3 linked regions of the Tribolium castaneum genome follow. The protein of the gene in region 2 purifies or fractionates together with the protein of the main gene of each other region. This does not show direct contact. Links are inferred from orthologs where the notes say so. Each region holds a gene or a part of one and is shown on either strand. Other genes may lie near its edges.

The links.
Region 1: the proteins of tonsoku-like protein (region 2) and Mcm6 purify together in Homo sapiens (affinity purification with mass spectrometry; 3 studies listed by BioGRID and IntAct, with this or other methods). This does not show direct contact. The link is inferred for Tribolium castaneum from reciprocal best matches to the Homo sapiens genes TONSL and MCM6.
Region 3: the proteins of tonsoku-like protein (region 2) and Ssrp purify together in Homo sapiens (affinity purification with mass spectrometry; 5 studies listed by BioGRID and IntAct, counting the BioPlex papers as one, with this or other methods). This does not show direct contact. The link is inferred for Tribolium castaneum from reciprocal best matches to the Homo sapiens genes TONSL and SSRP1.

Annotation. Positions count from the first base shown.
Region 1 is NC_087400.1:6,014,565-6,019,673, forward strand, and holds the start of Mcm6 (DNA replication licensing factor Mcm6), read right to left. Parts: upstream 3,493-5,109; 5' UTR 3,384-3,492; coding exon 3,292-3,383; intron 3,235-3,291; coding exon 2,826-3,234; intron 2,774-2,825; coding exon 2,582-2,773; intron 2,482-2,581; coding exon 2,052-2,481; intron 1-2,051. UniProt on the Homo sapiens protein: Acts as a component of the MCM2-7 complex (MCM complex) which is the replicative helicase essential for 'once per cell cycle' DNA replication initiation and elongation in eukaryotic cells.
Region 2 is NC_087394.1:23,964,878-23,969,887, forward strand, and holds the start of tonsoku-like protein, read left to right. Parts: upstream 1-1,814; 5' UTR 1,815-1,949; coding exon 1,950-1,962; intron 1,963-2,018; coding exon 2,019-2,276; intron 2,277-2,325; coding exon 2,326-2,485; intron 2,486-2,538; coding exon 2,539-2,795; intron 2,796-2,847; coding exon 2,848-3,018; intron 3,019-3,069; coding exon 3,070-3,672; intron 3,673-5,010. Other genes in the region: uncharacterized protein HPS4, read right to left, coding at 339-564, 618-712, 762-989, 1,041-1,275, 1,324-1,331. UniProt on the Homo sapiens protein: Component of the MMS22L-TONSL complex, a complex that promotes homologous recombination-mediated repair of double-strand breaks (DSBs) at stalled or collapsed replication forks.
Region 3 is NC_087395.1:25,956,517-25,961,422, reverse strand, and holds Ssrp (FACT complex subunit Ssrp1), read left to right. Parts: upstream 1-1,415; 5' UTR 1,416-1,575; coding exon 1,576-1,626; intron 1,627-1,675; coding exon 1,676-2,077; intron 2,078-2,289; coding exon 2,290-2,468; intron 2,469-2,516; coding exon 2,517-2,756; intron 2,757-2,810; coding exon 2,811-3,231; intron 3,232-3,281; coding exon 3,282-4,127; 3' UTR 4,128-4,156; downstream 4,157-4,906. Other genes in the region: uncharacterized protein LOC661743, read right to left, coding at 424-461; tRNA pseudouridine synthase-like 1, read left to right, coding at 4,365-4,432, 4,482-4,610, 4,656-4,906. UniProt on the Homo sapiens protein: Component of the FACT complex, a general chromatin factor that acts to reorganize nucleosomes. The FACT complex is involved in multiple processes that require DNA as a template such as mRNA elongation, DNA replication and DNA repair.

The sequences.
Region 1 (5,109 bases), on a different chromosome or scaffold from region 2:
GTTTAATTGAAATTAACTTTAACATAGCTTATTTTGATAATTTCACATGTTTTACTTTAATAAGCGTCCACAAAATTTCTAGATTATTCACACCTTTTGTGTGAAATAATTTTTCCATGGCCAACTACTTGCAAATATTTTAAATATAATTTTTATCGAAAATATATAAAAATATTAAACTATATTTATATTGTTTCCAGTTCAGGAGAAAATAAGCTTTTCGAAAATGTCATAGCCAACTATGATTCTCATTTAAAAAAATACTTTATGTTATTACAGCTAAACGAGTGATTAAAAAAAAGCGCTGATAACATTATGTCACTCATTTTTTTTGTAAACCTCTTTAGTTAGGACGTAGAAAATGCACCACCCTGTGTAAGGTGAGTCTACACCATATCATCATATTGCAGCGTAATTAATTTTCCATCGTTTGGCATATTAATATCATTTTTTACTCAACTAGAAATATTTATTTTTGCGCGGACCAAAAAACTTGGGACACCCTGTATATTTGTTTCTTTGGTGATTAGTTTCCACCTATTACACATTTACTTTTTGTAAAGATGCATTAACGGACATTATTAAGTAACCTATCAAATATTCTAGAATATCGTTAAAAATATTTAAAGCCAAAAAATTTCGTGACATAATATTTCCAGAAAGCACAAATAGAATTTTGTCTCAATACACTACAAATGATAGAATTCTCCTTAGAGGTGGTTCTGTAATAGTGTATTTTTCAGAATAACGAAATTACGAACTGTTGACTGAAATTATTTGCTTCAGAAATGAATTTCAGCGATTCAAAAATACGTTACATGACGTAATCGTAATAAAGATCAATGAATCAGTTTGTTTCCCACTTTGTAACAATTCTTATATCACAGATTTTTTTTGTAACGTTGTATCCATATTTTTATACAATTATTATTGTGCCGTTTAATCTTATTCAGTTTGTTACTTGATGTCGTGGCATGCAGACGCCTCATAACATAAATAAAGAATTTTGCGGTTTAAAAATTTCAAAATCGTTGAAAAGTGCGTGCCGATTTCGGTTAGTGTGTGCTAATGAAATAGAATACTGCAATAGTATTTTTAGAAAAGTTAAAGTTAAATAAATGTCAACTTAATTCAAATTAGTTTAATTCAGAATTATAATTATTTCGTTTTCTCATTTTTGCGTTTATTTTGTTTTTAATTTATTTTTAATGTCTTGCTACAAACTGCAACAGAAAAAGATGCTACAAAGGTAAGTGTATTTTTTTTTGTTATTTACCGTTAAGTGAGAAAAATTGATTTTTGTGTTGTATTTGATTTCAAAACCAATAATTCCTCTATTCGTTACATTTTCTAATAAACATTTTTTACCTCATTCTTATTTAGTTCATTATTATATCAATTTGACAAATTTAGAGCAGTCTTTATATTAGATGTATTGCTGGTTGCATTTACAGGCGCAAAAATATGTATTTATTTAAGATGCAACGTGATATTTGTAACACAACCACTTTCCTTACAGGAATAACTGCAGTCTAGCATTCATTTAATAACTGGTCTTTTTTTTTATTGATTTTATTTCACATATTAGCGAAATGTTAAGTAAAAATGTTACAAAATCTTGCAAAAATGCTGTAAAATTTAATTTTCAACTTATTTTTTTATTTAACATATTATTCAATAAGAATCGTTGATATTTAAAAAAAAATCCAATTTTTTCACAATAATCTGTCTTTTTTAATAATTGGTCCTTTTCTGTTGATAGAAACAAAAAGAACAAGTTTTAATTTTGTACTTGTTGACAACAGTTTCTGCGACTTCTTTTATTTTTTAAGGACTGTTGCCCTTAATAAAAAAATCCTCAACTTATGCAAAAATAATCTGTGAAATGAGTTGTTTCGACTTGTTTTGTTCCTAGTTTTTTGCATTCAGAACAACAGAAATAGTAAATGTTATTTAATTTTTTTCAGAATTTTCTAGCAAAAGAAATAACACTTAGCGTCCATAAGATATAAAGACAAGTCAGATTAGAACAAAGTTAGCAATAAACCAACCTTCAACTGTCGTCTTGGAAACTCCCCCAAACAGCATCAAAAGTATCCCCCTTTTGACCTCCTCATTCCCGTGAATACTCGGAAATAAACTATTGATGAGATTCTGATACAAATTCCTGTCGTGGCTCATCTCATACATGTGATTCCACTCGCCCTCTGTCATCTGCTGTCGCATAATTTCGGGAGTAATCTCATTAAGAGGCATCTCAATACCCCCAAATTTGGGGTTAGTGGGCTGAACACTACACGCGAGAAACGCCATTCTGTAATGAAGATCACGCACTCCTAGGGCTTTGAGACCCCTAACCCCTTCAGTATCGTCACCACCCTTGTGACGCGAGTTGATCTGAGCCTTCGCCCCAGGAAGAGCCAAAGCCCCCACGTCCGGGACCACGATGAGAGTCCCCGTGAAGTCATAACGATCGCCGGCCTTTTTCAATCATTTGTTTAGTAACATGAAATTAAGTTGGCTACAATGACTGACATGACCATCAATGTAGCCAACTTATTTTTTGGTGAAAAATTGTTACCTGGACTGTTTCCACATTTTCGGCTCTTAAAATCACCTCAACACACCTCGGAATGCACCCCCTTGGCAACTCGGCTTGAGTTTCCTGTATCCGGACTTTCTGGAAGTCCACAAATAGGGACTTGTCCACATCTAGCATAAAGCGTCTCCTGTTATTGCAAACAGGGTTGCGACAAATCGTCGGATTAGTAAACTGTGAATTTAGATTAATAAACAGCTCTTAAAACAAAAACAAAAAAATCTACCTTAAATTGTTGCTCAACATCTTTAATGACAGTTTGGCAATCCAAACAGACGAAAGTCCCCAAAATCAGTTCAGGGTGTACAGGGTGAGTCCTGATAACCTGTCCTGAGATCCGAATCAAAGTCCCAACTTTCTCAGTTTTCAATTCTCGTACTTTGTGTCTTGTTGGAACATCAACAAAGCTGATATAACACTCTTTATCTTTTTTCAAATCGCTGCGGTCTTTAACGAAATTAGAGACGGCTTGGCAAAGATAAGGGTAAATCCGGTAATACTCCTCGATAACGGTCGTTGCAAGATTTTGGTTATATTTCTCTAAATCTTCAAAACTGACTTCAATAGTGCTGCGCTCTTGGTTGAGGAGCTCCTTAGCCGGCTCCAAATACTTGATTTCGCCGTCCTCTTTAAATCTGGGGGCGCCTCATGTGTGATAATACCAATTGGGGGGTTGGTAAGGGGGTACTTACTCTTCTAAGAAATCCTGGAATAATTTCTGGCACCTGACACCGATTTCATCCTGGTGTTGCCTCTGGCCGACCTGGACGTTGGCTACATCCATGTTTTAGCGATTTAGAACGAAAAATTCGGGAAAAACAGAGTAAACAATAACGCAAAAAAGGCGGGAAAGTGACTACGAACATAACCATACATTTTTACCCGCCAGACGGGTATCTCTGTTACCGATGGAAGTAACTAACAAAGCGGCCTCTAGCGAAATGTTTTTCAAACTACCAAATTAGCGGAAAATTTAACTTATGGTCTGAAACCGCCACTCTATCATAAATATTCAAGAATTTCGAACGGTAATTATCTATTTAGATTACATTTCTTTCTCTCAGTTTGCACTAATTTATCAATCACGAAGGAAAAAAACGCTTATTAAAAAAATGAAAATGGGAAACTTTTTTTTGCTTTTTTTTTATAAAATCTAGAGCAAAATCAGATATCGCTTACAATAATCTATTTTTTCGTCAAAATTCAAAGCTGTTCTGGATTTTGATCATAAAGACAAAAGTCGTATAGCAAAACGGTTTGATTCAGTGAATTCTACGGCTGGTTTTATGTATTCTACCAGCTTTTCACAATATTTTGAAATTTTCTGCTTAAAATTTAATAATCGAGGCACTTACCTTTTCAAAAATTAAAAAAAATTAACTCACTAGCAAAATTTTATAAACTTTTCTATGCCTTTACATAACCCACGGAGTTGTTGAAAGTACAAAAAAGTCAATAGGTTCGATATTTTAAAGTTTTTTTCCCATTTTTTCGAGATTTTTGTCGGAAAACGAAAATATTTTTCATGTAGTAACTTTCGAACTATTCGAGATAACCTTATGGAAGTTTATTAGCGTTGGAAAGCTCTTACAATTATCTATCTTTTAAAAAAAAAACATTGTTCTTTGGCTAATAATTTTCAAGAAAATTCCAAATAAAGGCAGAAATAGATAAAATTAAAAAAATTATAACTCTAAAAAACTAGTGGTAATTTTGCGATTTTCTCAAAGCCAATTGCTTTGATTTTTCTTATAAACACCATTTTTAACATTTGTATTTGTGAAAAGTTTTTTTTATTCCTGATTACAACGATGTATTACATAATATGAATGAATCTTACATGATAATTAAAATTAAGAAAAAAGCGTTTTTGCAAAGAGTGCTTTGGAAAAAACGTCAAGAATGATGTTTAACAAACTATATTTTGACAGTTCTATCAAACATGCGAGCAAAGTATTTATAACTTTAGGAGTAAAATTGTAGCTTATCATGTCTTAGTTTTTAAATAAGTAAGCTTGGCGGAAATGTGAAACTTTCAGATCCAAATTGAATTAAACCTCTAAAATCTAGTTAGCTTAAAAACAAAATTGTTGACGTCTTCCCCAAAGCACTCTTCGCAAAAAAGCTTTTTTTCTCCATTTTGATCACCATGTAAAATTCGATCATATCATGTGATACATCGTTGTAATCAGAAATAAAAAGACTTTTCAAAAATACAAAAATCGAATATACCTTTCCAAGAAAAACCAAAGTTGAGTGTTTGAAACGCAGTCAGGAAGAACGCCTTGGAACTTCCTATTTAAAAACGTCTAGTTTTTAGCTTTCCCTTGAAAAAATTAAAATTAAAAATTTCTGTTTTGTTTAATTATAAAAAAATTAATAATAATTATAAACCTCGTATTCTTATAATAACAGATGGAGGTCGAAAAACGGACACTCTGTATAAATAATTAAAACAGGCACGTTTTGGTAAACCTTTATTTAATAAACTTTACACTGAGTTACATTAA
Region 2 (5,010 bases):
TCAAATATCTGTCAGGTGGTCTGTCAGCCTTCTGCAATGAGAGGTGGTAAAGTCACGATTTCTTCCTTTCGAAGTGATTATCTTGCTACGATATTTTCAATTTCCATTAAAACATAAAACAGATAAGATAAATTGCCAGTGCCTTTAAGTAAGAATTTCGAAACTGAAATAGTAAAAAAATCCACGACGTTTTAAGAAATTGAAATTAAAATTTCATTAAGATCAGATAAACATTCAAAAACCATAGCAGCTGTCGTCCCTAACGGGGCTTCCTCTGTAGCCATGTAAGGGAAACTTCCTTAAATCCCCTACCTTAAATTTAATTATTAATGACAAACCTTTTTAATACTTTTGCTGCTCAGGTACTGGAAAATACTGCGACTCCTTGTCGCCTCCTCGTGCAATTTGTAATATTCTTTACTCGAAATGTATACTTGCAGCAGTTGGACGCCTAGAGGTAGCTCAAAATTGACGCTAGGTGTCTCTGCCGGGCATTTAATTCGGTACGGATCCGTTAATACAATTCGTTTCGTTATGTCTGAACTCAGCTGAGTTGCTACGACCCTACAACCAAAATACAATAATCAAAATAACAGTTCCCCGTAATTTACAATTACTTGTTATGGTACAACAACGTGCCGCCCATGACATAATTGAGTTCTTGGCAACACTGTAGTATTTGTATGGCCTCTAAAAACACATTACTTGCGCTCTGAGGACAAACAATTAGATTAAACGCTCCAAAGATCGATTTTTGCCACCTTTGGTAGTTTCAGCGACGGAGTATAGGAAAAAATATTGCCGCCCAGAAACATGTACTTTAGATAAGTCTCGAATAATTGATACAGTTTTGCGGAGAGTTTCGCGCTGTTGTCGTACAACTTCGACATGATTTCAATGTCCTGGTGGAAGAAGCTTATCAGTGAAGACATTGTGTTGGCCCTATGTTCCAGTAACCAATCCGCAATGTTGCGATCGGTGCCTACGGCCTTGGCACACCACCAAATTAAACAAAATTACGCGAAAGACAAGCAACAAACCATCAGATACCGCCCATACTCCTTAATAAAAAATTTGCCGCTCTGTAACGAGACTATTTTCGGGGCGGAAAAAATACTTTTAACGCAATGAACGGTGCCCATTAGCTGGCCACACAAAGCCGTTTTTTGCTGGTCTGACACCCACGTTGGGTGGAAATACAAAATTGCGCTCGCAGGGTCGTCTTCTTCTTTCTGGAGCATCTGAGAGTCATAGACTAGGATTATCATCATTTCCCTGTAAACGGTCGGTTATCTGGTTATCAGAGACTGTGGCAATACTCACTTTGCCATTTTCTTGTGAATTTTTCACTCAATATAAACACAAGACTTTTTATTGATGTTTACACAACTGTGACATAACCTCACTTTTCGCAAGTAAACAAATACCTGACAAGTTATGTAATAATTCCTTAATTGACTTGTAACGTTACCTACGCGTTAAATCATGTTTTTGTCCGGGTTTTTGAAAAACTGGTGATTGATTAAAACAATAAAAACACTGATACGCCACTGGAAATGTCCAAAATACCTGTACAGGACCGCCAGTACCGCCACACCTGAATCCAAAAAAAAAAGTAAAAAACCCTACATCATTTTATAGAAAATCGTATTTTATGTATAATAAGAGGCTTAATTCTTGTTTTTATTCAAGCCGTAAAGGTTCTGTGAAAATGGGACTTAAAAAAAACAAGTTTTATGCATATTTCTGTTTCCAAGCCAAGGTGCGTAGCAATGTTGTGCTGGTCGACTATAATTTTCAAACGATAACCTTTTGCGTTGCTATCATTACCGGCAAACTTTGACAGTGACAGCTGTTTTGGAGGGAAAGGTATTTGTCAAAAAGGCAAACATGCATAAAAATGATCATCATGTGTTTATGTACTTGAGTCACTATTAATAACAGAAAAAATGGACGAACAAAGTGGGTTTCCTGTTTTTAATTTATTATAAACCAACAAACACCTTATTTAATTACAGAACTTTTGAAACGGAGAAATAAAGCCCTCCGAGAAAACAATGAAGGGGTCCTTATCAGCGTTTGCACCGACTTGGCTAATTTATACGTCGACAAAGGCAGGTTTGACTTTGCTATAGAGGAGTACACCACTGTTGCAAACATTTACAAGAAACAAAACAAGCAATTGGAGTATGCTGTAGTCAGTAGAGGCATAGGTGAGGCCTATTTGGGCTTACAAAAGTTTGATAAAGCCTTGAAACTCCAAAAAATCTACTTAGGTAAGTCGTTACGTTGGTAGTATAGAAACGAGCCACTTACCTGGCATAGATATTGCAAGGGAATTGAAAAATAAGCTGGAGGAACAACGTGCCCTTGCCACCATTGGCCACACTTACCTCACCACCTACCTAGATTCACCCGAACCCGACAAAAACAACCTAAACCTGGCCAATAAATTTTTCATGAAGAGTTTAGTAGTGTCACAGAGGTGCTTATTTACAATTAAACGAGTTATTTTCTTAGTTTGATGAATGGTTTTAGTTTAGTTGGGGAGGCGAGTAAACTGGAAATTGCAGACATGTGTGCGCGCCTTTATTGCAATTTAGGCTTAGTCCAGGACTCTCTCGGTAATTACGACAAAGCTTTGGAACTTTTTACCAAGTCTATAAACCAGTGCAAGGCTCACGACTTGTACGAGCAGCTGCAAAGGGGCTACATGTCCCTATCGTCCCTTTTGGTCAAAAAGGGGGACAGTAAGGCGGCCCTTCAACAGTGTAATTTGGCCGCTGAGACTGCAAGTGAGTAACACAAAAAGGGGGCTCAAGAGTTGAAATAATTACAATTTGTTAGAAAAATTACGGAATAAGGCTGTTCTTTTGGCTGGGATTTTTTTGAGCAAGTCTGAGATTCTCTTAAAGTTGGGGGATTTACACGGGGCCAAGAACGCCCTCCACAAGGCGTACAAACTTAACACGCCGGATGTCAAGGAGCGGAAAACGATAGAAAATAATTTGAAAGTTGGTGAGTAAAATAACACAAAAAAATAATTTCTTGTGATCGTGATTATTTTAGTCGCTTCAATGTGTTACAACCAGGATAAGCTTTTGGTCACTGATAGCACTGACTATCCTACCTTAAAGAAATTGTACGAAAAGATGGGCGATGGCGCATGCCATTTGAAACTCTACACCAAAGCGCTCGATTATTACAAAAAAATGATGGAGACGGCGGAAAAGGCCGAAATGACCGGTCCGGACCTGGCTTCGTGTTATTACAGTCTGGCGGAGACTTACAAAGACAACGGCCAGTTTGAGGAAGCTGTTGAGTATTTCGAGAAAGAGTTGGTTCTTTGCAAGAATTTGAAGGACAGTTTGAATACTTTGAGCAATATTGCGGATACAAAAGAAGCAGCAAATGAGCCGATTAGTGAAGTTAGAGCTGTCTATAGCCGAGCTATAGAGAGTTGTCAAAGGGAAGGGAACGTACATGAGGAAGGCCGAATGTTAAAACGCCAAATTCTGTATTTGAGGCGACAAAAACAACATTCGGAAGCGTTCAATTTGGAGCAGAGCTTGGCAAAATTGGATTTTCACAGTTCGGACAGTGAGGGCGAAAGCTCCGACGCTCAGACCGAGTCTGTGGTGGGAGCGGAAATCGACTTGGAAGCTATCACAGGTGAAACACTTTTTTTATAATACCTAATAATTATAAACGACCTATTTGATCCAGAGGCAGCCAACCAAGTTATTTTATTTTAAATTAATGTAAACATAAATAATTAAATAATAAGACCATATTTAAAGTTGGAAAGCACCAATAATCTTTTCGAAGTTTAAAATTGAAAATATCGTAGCTGGAAAATAAGACCTCTACAAGCAAGTTGACATATTCCCTAAATCGTAATTCTATCAATCTATCAAATTGCAAGATTTTTTACGTTAAACGTCCTGAAGTAATTGATTGGAATAAAATTTAACGACGTTAGGACAGCTTTCTTAACAAAAAGACGAGTTGCAACGTTTCGTTCATATAATAAACTTCATCAGGCTAAAATTATACATAAAAATACAATATAACCACAATTAATTACATCAATTGGGAAATTTAATTTGATTTTTTGGAGTTATTTCCTTATGGTTGAATGTTTCTAACGTAAAATGACCGGCGGAATCCAAATCTGCAAGAATCAGATCGCTACGGCCAACCGTTCGGAAGATATCATCAAAACTATAGTCTCGTCACAAAAATGTCTCAACTAAACTTACGTCATTATCGGTCAATTTTTTGAAGTTAGTTTCCTATGATTGAGTGTTTCTAACGTAAAATGACCGGCGGAATCAAAATCTGCAAGAATCAGTTCGCTACGGCTAACCGTTCCGAAAATATCATCAAAAATATAGTCTCATTACAAAAATGTCTCAACTAAACTCAGGTCATTATCTGTCAATTTTTTGGAGTCATTGCCTTATGATTGAGTGTTTCTAACGTAAAATGACCGGCGGAATCCAAATCTGCAAGAATCAGATCGCTACGGCTAACCGTTCGAAAGATATCATCAAAACTATAGTCTCGTTACAAAAATGTCTTAACTAAACTCACGTCATTATCTGTCAATTTTTTGGAGTCATTGCCTTATGATTGAGTGTTTCTAACGTAAAATGACCGGCGGAATCCAAATCTGCAAGAATCAGATCGCTACGGCTAACTGTTTTTTGTTAATTTTGTATGTAATTAATTGTGGTGATCTAGGGTGGTGATACATTAATGGTGGTACATTAATAGCTAATGTAATTCATAGTTTCAACGAGAAATCAATCATTATAGGCATTGGCAACTTATTTTATATATTACACATGTTTTAACGGAAAATATCGTTCTTTTTAAAATTCCCTGCGATGAAAAATAAGCGAGATAATTGCTTCGAAAGGAAGAAATCGTGACGTCACAACCGCCTCTTATCACTGAACCCTCTGAGTCACCAAAAACCTGTCAGATATTTGTAGATTTTCCACA
Region 3 (4,906 bases), on a different chromosome or scaffold from region 2:
CCCTTTGGACTCATCCAATATACTCATACTTTCGACGAATTAGCTATAATTCAGCAAATATCTTATCACTTTATCAATTTATCGTTTCCTCTAACCCGAATTTCCTGGATTTTTTTCCTCAAAAACGTAAAAATTAGCTAGGAAAAAGAGTGGTATATAGGTTTTTGGTGGAGATTGAGGTTAGTTTGCCCGGATCGATAAGATATCAACAGTGGAACAGCTGAGCATCGCGGAGGGGATTGCCAGGCTACCGGGATCAATAACAATAATAAACCAAACAATTGCAAAACGGAAAAACGGCCTACTTTTCATCCACATGCATAAAAGATTTGGCAAAAATTTACAAACGCGCCTTCTCCTCGTGGTCTATTTTTACAGAGGTGTTAAAAAGCGTCAAGGTCGCCATTTCTCAAAATATCTCACCTTTTGGGTTTCCAACGTCGCTTTAAGACGCCCAGCATTTTCCAAACTACATACAAGACGAGCAAATGGAAGAGGAGAATTTTTCAGGTCACAAAACAGCACTCGTTGCCATTCGCGCGTTTTGTTTTTTTCTTACATAGCGAATGAAAACGTTCGTAAAACTGAAACGCGCTGAATTTTTTTTTCAGCAACTCGCGTTATTACGAGACACTTTACACGACCACTGCACTCGTCGAGTGCCTCTCCTGAAATCAAGATGCTGATGCTCAAAATAAACAAGTTGGGGTCATATGACCGGAATGGCGGCACCGGATTGGCGGATCCGGTGAATGCCGGGCTTTGACAGCCAACTCCGGTATTGCTGTCATTGACGGAAGGAAAAAAGTCATCAACCTGCGATTTTGCCCATTCAAAGCGGAGAAAGGAGTTTTTTAATAATTATTTAAAATATCGTCGTTTTTTATATATTTTTCGGTCCACGCACCTACCATTTTATAAATATTTGAGCACCCATGATTTTATTGATTTGGTTTAATAGAATTTCCAAAAAAAAATCCAAAACCGCGTCAACATTTACGATAATTTCCAAACTTTCAGATAAAAGCGACCACAAATAACTTTTTCTTCATTTTGACTGTTTGTGGTTTCCAGTCGGATTATTTGCGACCACAAGAGCATTTTTTATGTCAAGTGACATTATTATTGAAACTGAATACGCTTTATGCAAAGTAACTCAAGTCGGGCAGAATTTTATTACACCTCATAAATTTAAAAAGTTGTATTTTGGTTTCAGAATGAAAAGAACTAATTTTTGGTTGTGGGCAAAAATAAAACAAAATAAATTTAGCCCTCTCGTTTATTTGTTTATTACAATGAATACTAAGTAATTTACATTTGTAATTACAATAAAATAACAATTTTGAATTTGTAATTTTTTTTAATTGCGTAACGCTGCCAACTTATTTCTAGTGGTTTCGCGGGCTTGTTGTGGCAGCCTGACTTCAAGGCCGAAGTTGCGTCAAATGGCGGCATAACCTGTAAAAAAAATCCAAACAAAAAGAAACACCACAAAAAATACTTGAGCTAAGTTTTTGTGTTTTTATATTGTTTTTTTCGTAAATTAAACCAAACTTTGAGTGAATTTTCCCCAAGATGGATTTCCTGGAATATTCGGACATCTCTGCCGAAGTCAAAGGCTGCATGGTACGTTAGCCCCCATTCCCCCAATTCCCCCTCAATTTCCTCGTTTCAGACCGGCGGTAAACTCAAAATGACCGACCAAAACATCATTTTCAAAAACTCGAAGACGGGCAAAGTCGAGTCAATTTCGGCGTCCGATTTCGAGGCAGTCAATTTCCAGAACTTTGCCGGTTCGTTGGGGATCCGCGTGTTCCTCAAGAACGGCACTTTGCACCGATTTGTCGGGTTTAAGGACGCGGAAAAGGAACGTATCGCCAAATTCTTCTCGAACACTTACAAAATCGACATGCTGGAGAAGGAGTTGAGTCTCAAGGGCTGGAACTGGGGCACAGCCAAGTTCAACGGCTCGGTTTTGAGCTTCGAGGTGGGACATAACAGCGCTTTCGAGATTCCGCTCAATCATGTGTCTCAATGTACGGCGGGGAAGAATGAAATCACGATGGAGTTTCATCAGGTGGGAAGGGGGCGCTTATTTTTATTTCAAACTTTTTACTTTTACCAAGGTTTTAAACACGTTTCTCAGCTTTTTTCTTAAAATTTCGTTAAAACATAACAAAATCACCAAATTGTTTTTAACTGTTACGTTCGAAATTACACGTTTTTTGTTAGAAATCAAACTTTTTTCCCCGTTTTCTGGCCGTTTTGTCAAAAACTAATCGATTTTAGAATGATGACGCCCCTGTAAGCCTCATGGAAATGCGATTTTTCATTCCTTCAAACGAATTAGCCGGAGACGTGGACCCAGTTGAAGCCTTCCAAAAACAAGTCATGAAGAAGGCTTCGGTTATCAGTGTCTCAGGCGACGCTATTGCGATATTTCGGGAGATTCAGTGTCTCACACCACGGTTGGTTTGAAAAACCACAAATAAATTTCCCTAAGAATTTTTTTCTAGTGGTCGTTACGATATTAAAATTTTCCAAACGTTTTTCCAATTGCATGGAAAAACATTCGATTATAAAATCCCAATGTCGACAGTCTTGCGTTTGTTTCTCCTTCCACACAAAGACAACCGGCAGATGTTTTTCGTAGTGAGTCTTGATCCACCCATCAAACAGGGCCAAACCAGGTATCATTTTTTGGTCTTGTTATTTGGTCAAGAAGAGGAGACTTCGATCGAATTACCCTTTACCGAGTAATTAATTAATTAATTATTAGGCCAAAATTTTTTCCTAATTAATAATTCCAGTGAGGAACTCAAGGACAAGTATGAGGGCAAGCTGGATAAGGAGTTATCAGGCCCCACTTACGAGGTCTTAGGCAAAGTCATGAAGGTTATAATTAATCGAAAACTGACCGGCCCGGGGGGCTTTGTCGGGCATTCAGGGACCCCAGCTATCGGCTGTTCGTTCAAGGCAGCCGCTGGTTACTTGTACCCCCTTGAACGGGGCTTCATGTACGTCCACAAGCCCCCAATTCACATTCGTTTCGAGGAAGTGGCTTCTGTGAATTTCGCCCGAGGTGGGGGAAGTACCCGTTCGTTTGATTTCGAAATTGAGCTCAAATCCGGGACTGTCCACACCTTTAGCAGCATTGAGAAGGAAGAATACAACAAATTGTTTGATTTCATTACCACCAAGAAACTGAATATCAAAAATCGGGGCAAAAACGTAACAATTTCACTCGTTTTGGTTTGGTTTAATTTGATTGGTTCTTTCAGGATAAAGGGGGCTATAATGACGATTTTGGCGATTCGGATAATGAGGCGGCCCCTGATGCCTACTTGGAGAGGGTTAAGGCCGAGGCACAAGAACGTGATGAAGATGATGACGATGGTCCAAGTGAAGATGAGAGTACTGATGAAGATTTCAAGCCAACTCAGGATGAGAGTGACGTTGCTGAAGAGTTTGATTCAAGTCCGAGCTCAACGTCGTCCGAAGACGAAGAGAAAGGTTCCGGTGATGAACATAAGAAGAAGCACAAAAAAGAGAAGAAGGAGAAGAAAGAAAAGAAGAAACCGGCTAAGACAGTGTCGGAGAAACCGCGCCAAAAGCGGGCCAAGAAATCAAAGGACGAAAATAAACCGAAAAGACCATCGACGGCGTTCATGCTATGGTTAAATGAGATGAGGGATAAAATCAAGGCAGATAATCCCGGGATTAAAATCACCGAAATTGCAAAGAAAGGTGGAGAGATGTGGAAGGAATTGAAGGATAAGTCTGAGTGGGAGGGGAAAGCGGCCAAAGCCAAAGAGGAGTACAACAAGGCCATGAAGGAGTATGAAGCTTCAGGGGGTTCAAAATCGGAAGATAAAAAGTCAAGTGAGAAAAAAGCACCAGCAAAGAAGAAAACCTCTTCTATGCCTTCCGTCAAACCCAGTCAAGTCAAAAGTCGGGAATTTATCGAAGACGACGACTCGAGTAGCGACAGTGATGATGATAAAGGCAAGAAAAGGAAGGGTTCCGATAGCGAACGCGGAAAACCCAAAGACAAGAAAAAGAAGAATAAATCCGAAAGCGAGGAGAGCACACCCGCGTCAAGTGACGCCAATTCCGATAGCGATTAAGTTTCTATTTAATAAATATGTTTAACAAACACCCGGCTTTATTTATTACATAACCTTAATCTTACATAACCTTAATTTCGCAAAAAACGCTATAATCGGCGCAAATTACATTGAATCGCCCTTTGATGCTTACTGTGCATGTGGGGGCCCCTTGCTTGTTTTAATTCGAGATATAAATGGGAAACAGCACGTTATTTACCATTATTTTTGTGACATAACCTCGCTTTAATAACAGCGATGTATTTCACGAAAATGGCTCTGAATCGCTACTTGCTCCACTTTTCGTACATCGGGACCCCTTTCATGTATTTGCTTGCTTCAGTCACGGTCGCGGCTCTTTCATGTTTTTTTTAGGGGGGCTCAGAGGCAAGTCACCGGTCGAATGCCCCGGCCCGATGACCCCTCCACGGTCCAAGGGCAGCTCGAAATGGCTTTGAAACGACTGAACCCGACTAACGACCCTGTCGTGTATTTGTCTAGCAGGTAAAAAATTGTGTAAATTGAACCACGTGCAAGGTGTGGTTTTAGGACCGATTCGGGGGTCCACGCTTTAAATTCCACGTGCCATGTTGATCTGTACCGCTCGAATGAGCTCGAGTATGAACCCAAAACTATAACAATCTGTCTCAATCGATACTTTGACAAAAATGAAGTCCCCATTCGTGTAATTAAGACGTATTGGGTCCCCCCGGATTTCCACTGTCGACATACTGCAATCTCGCGGACTTATCTCTACCGAATTGCGATCGCAAAGACTGGAGTAACGGAACATGCGACCA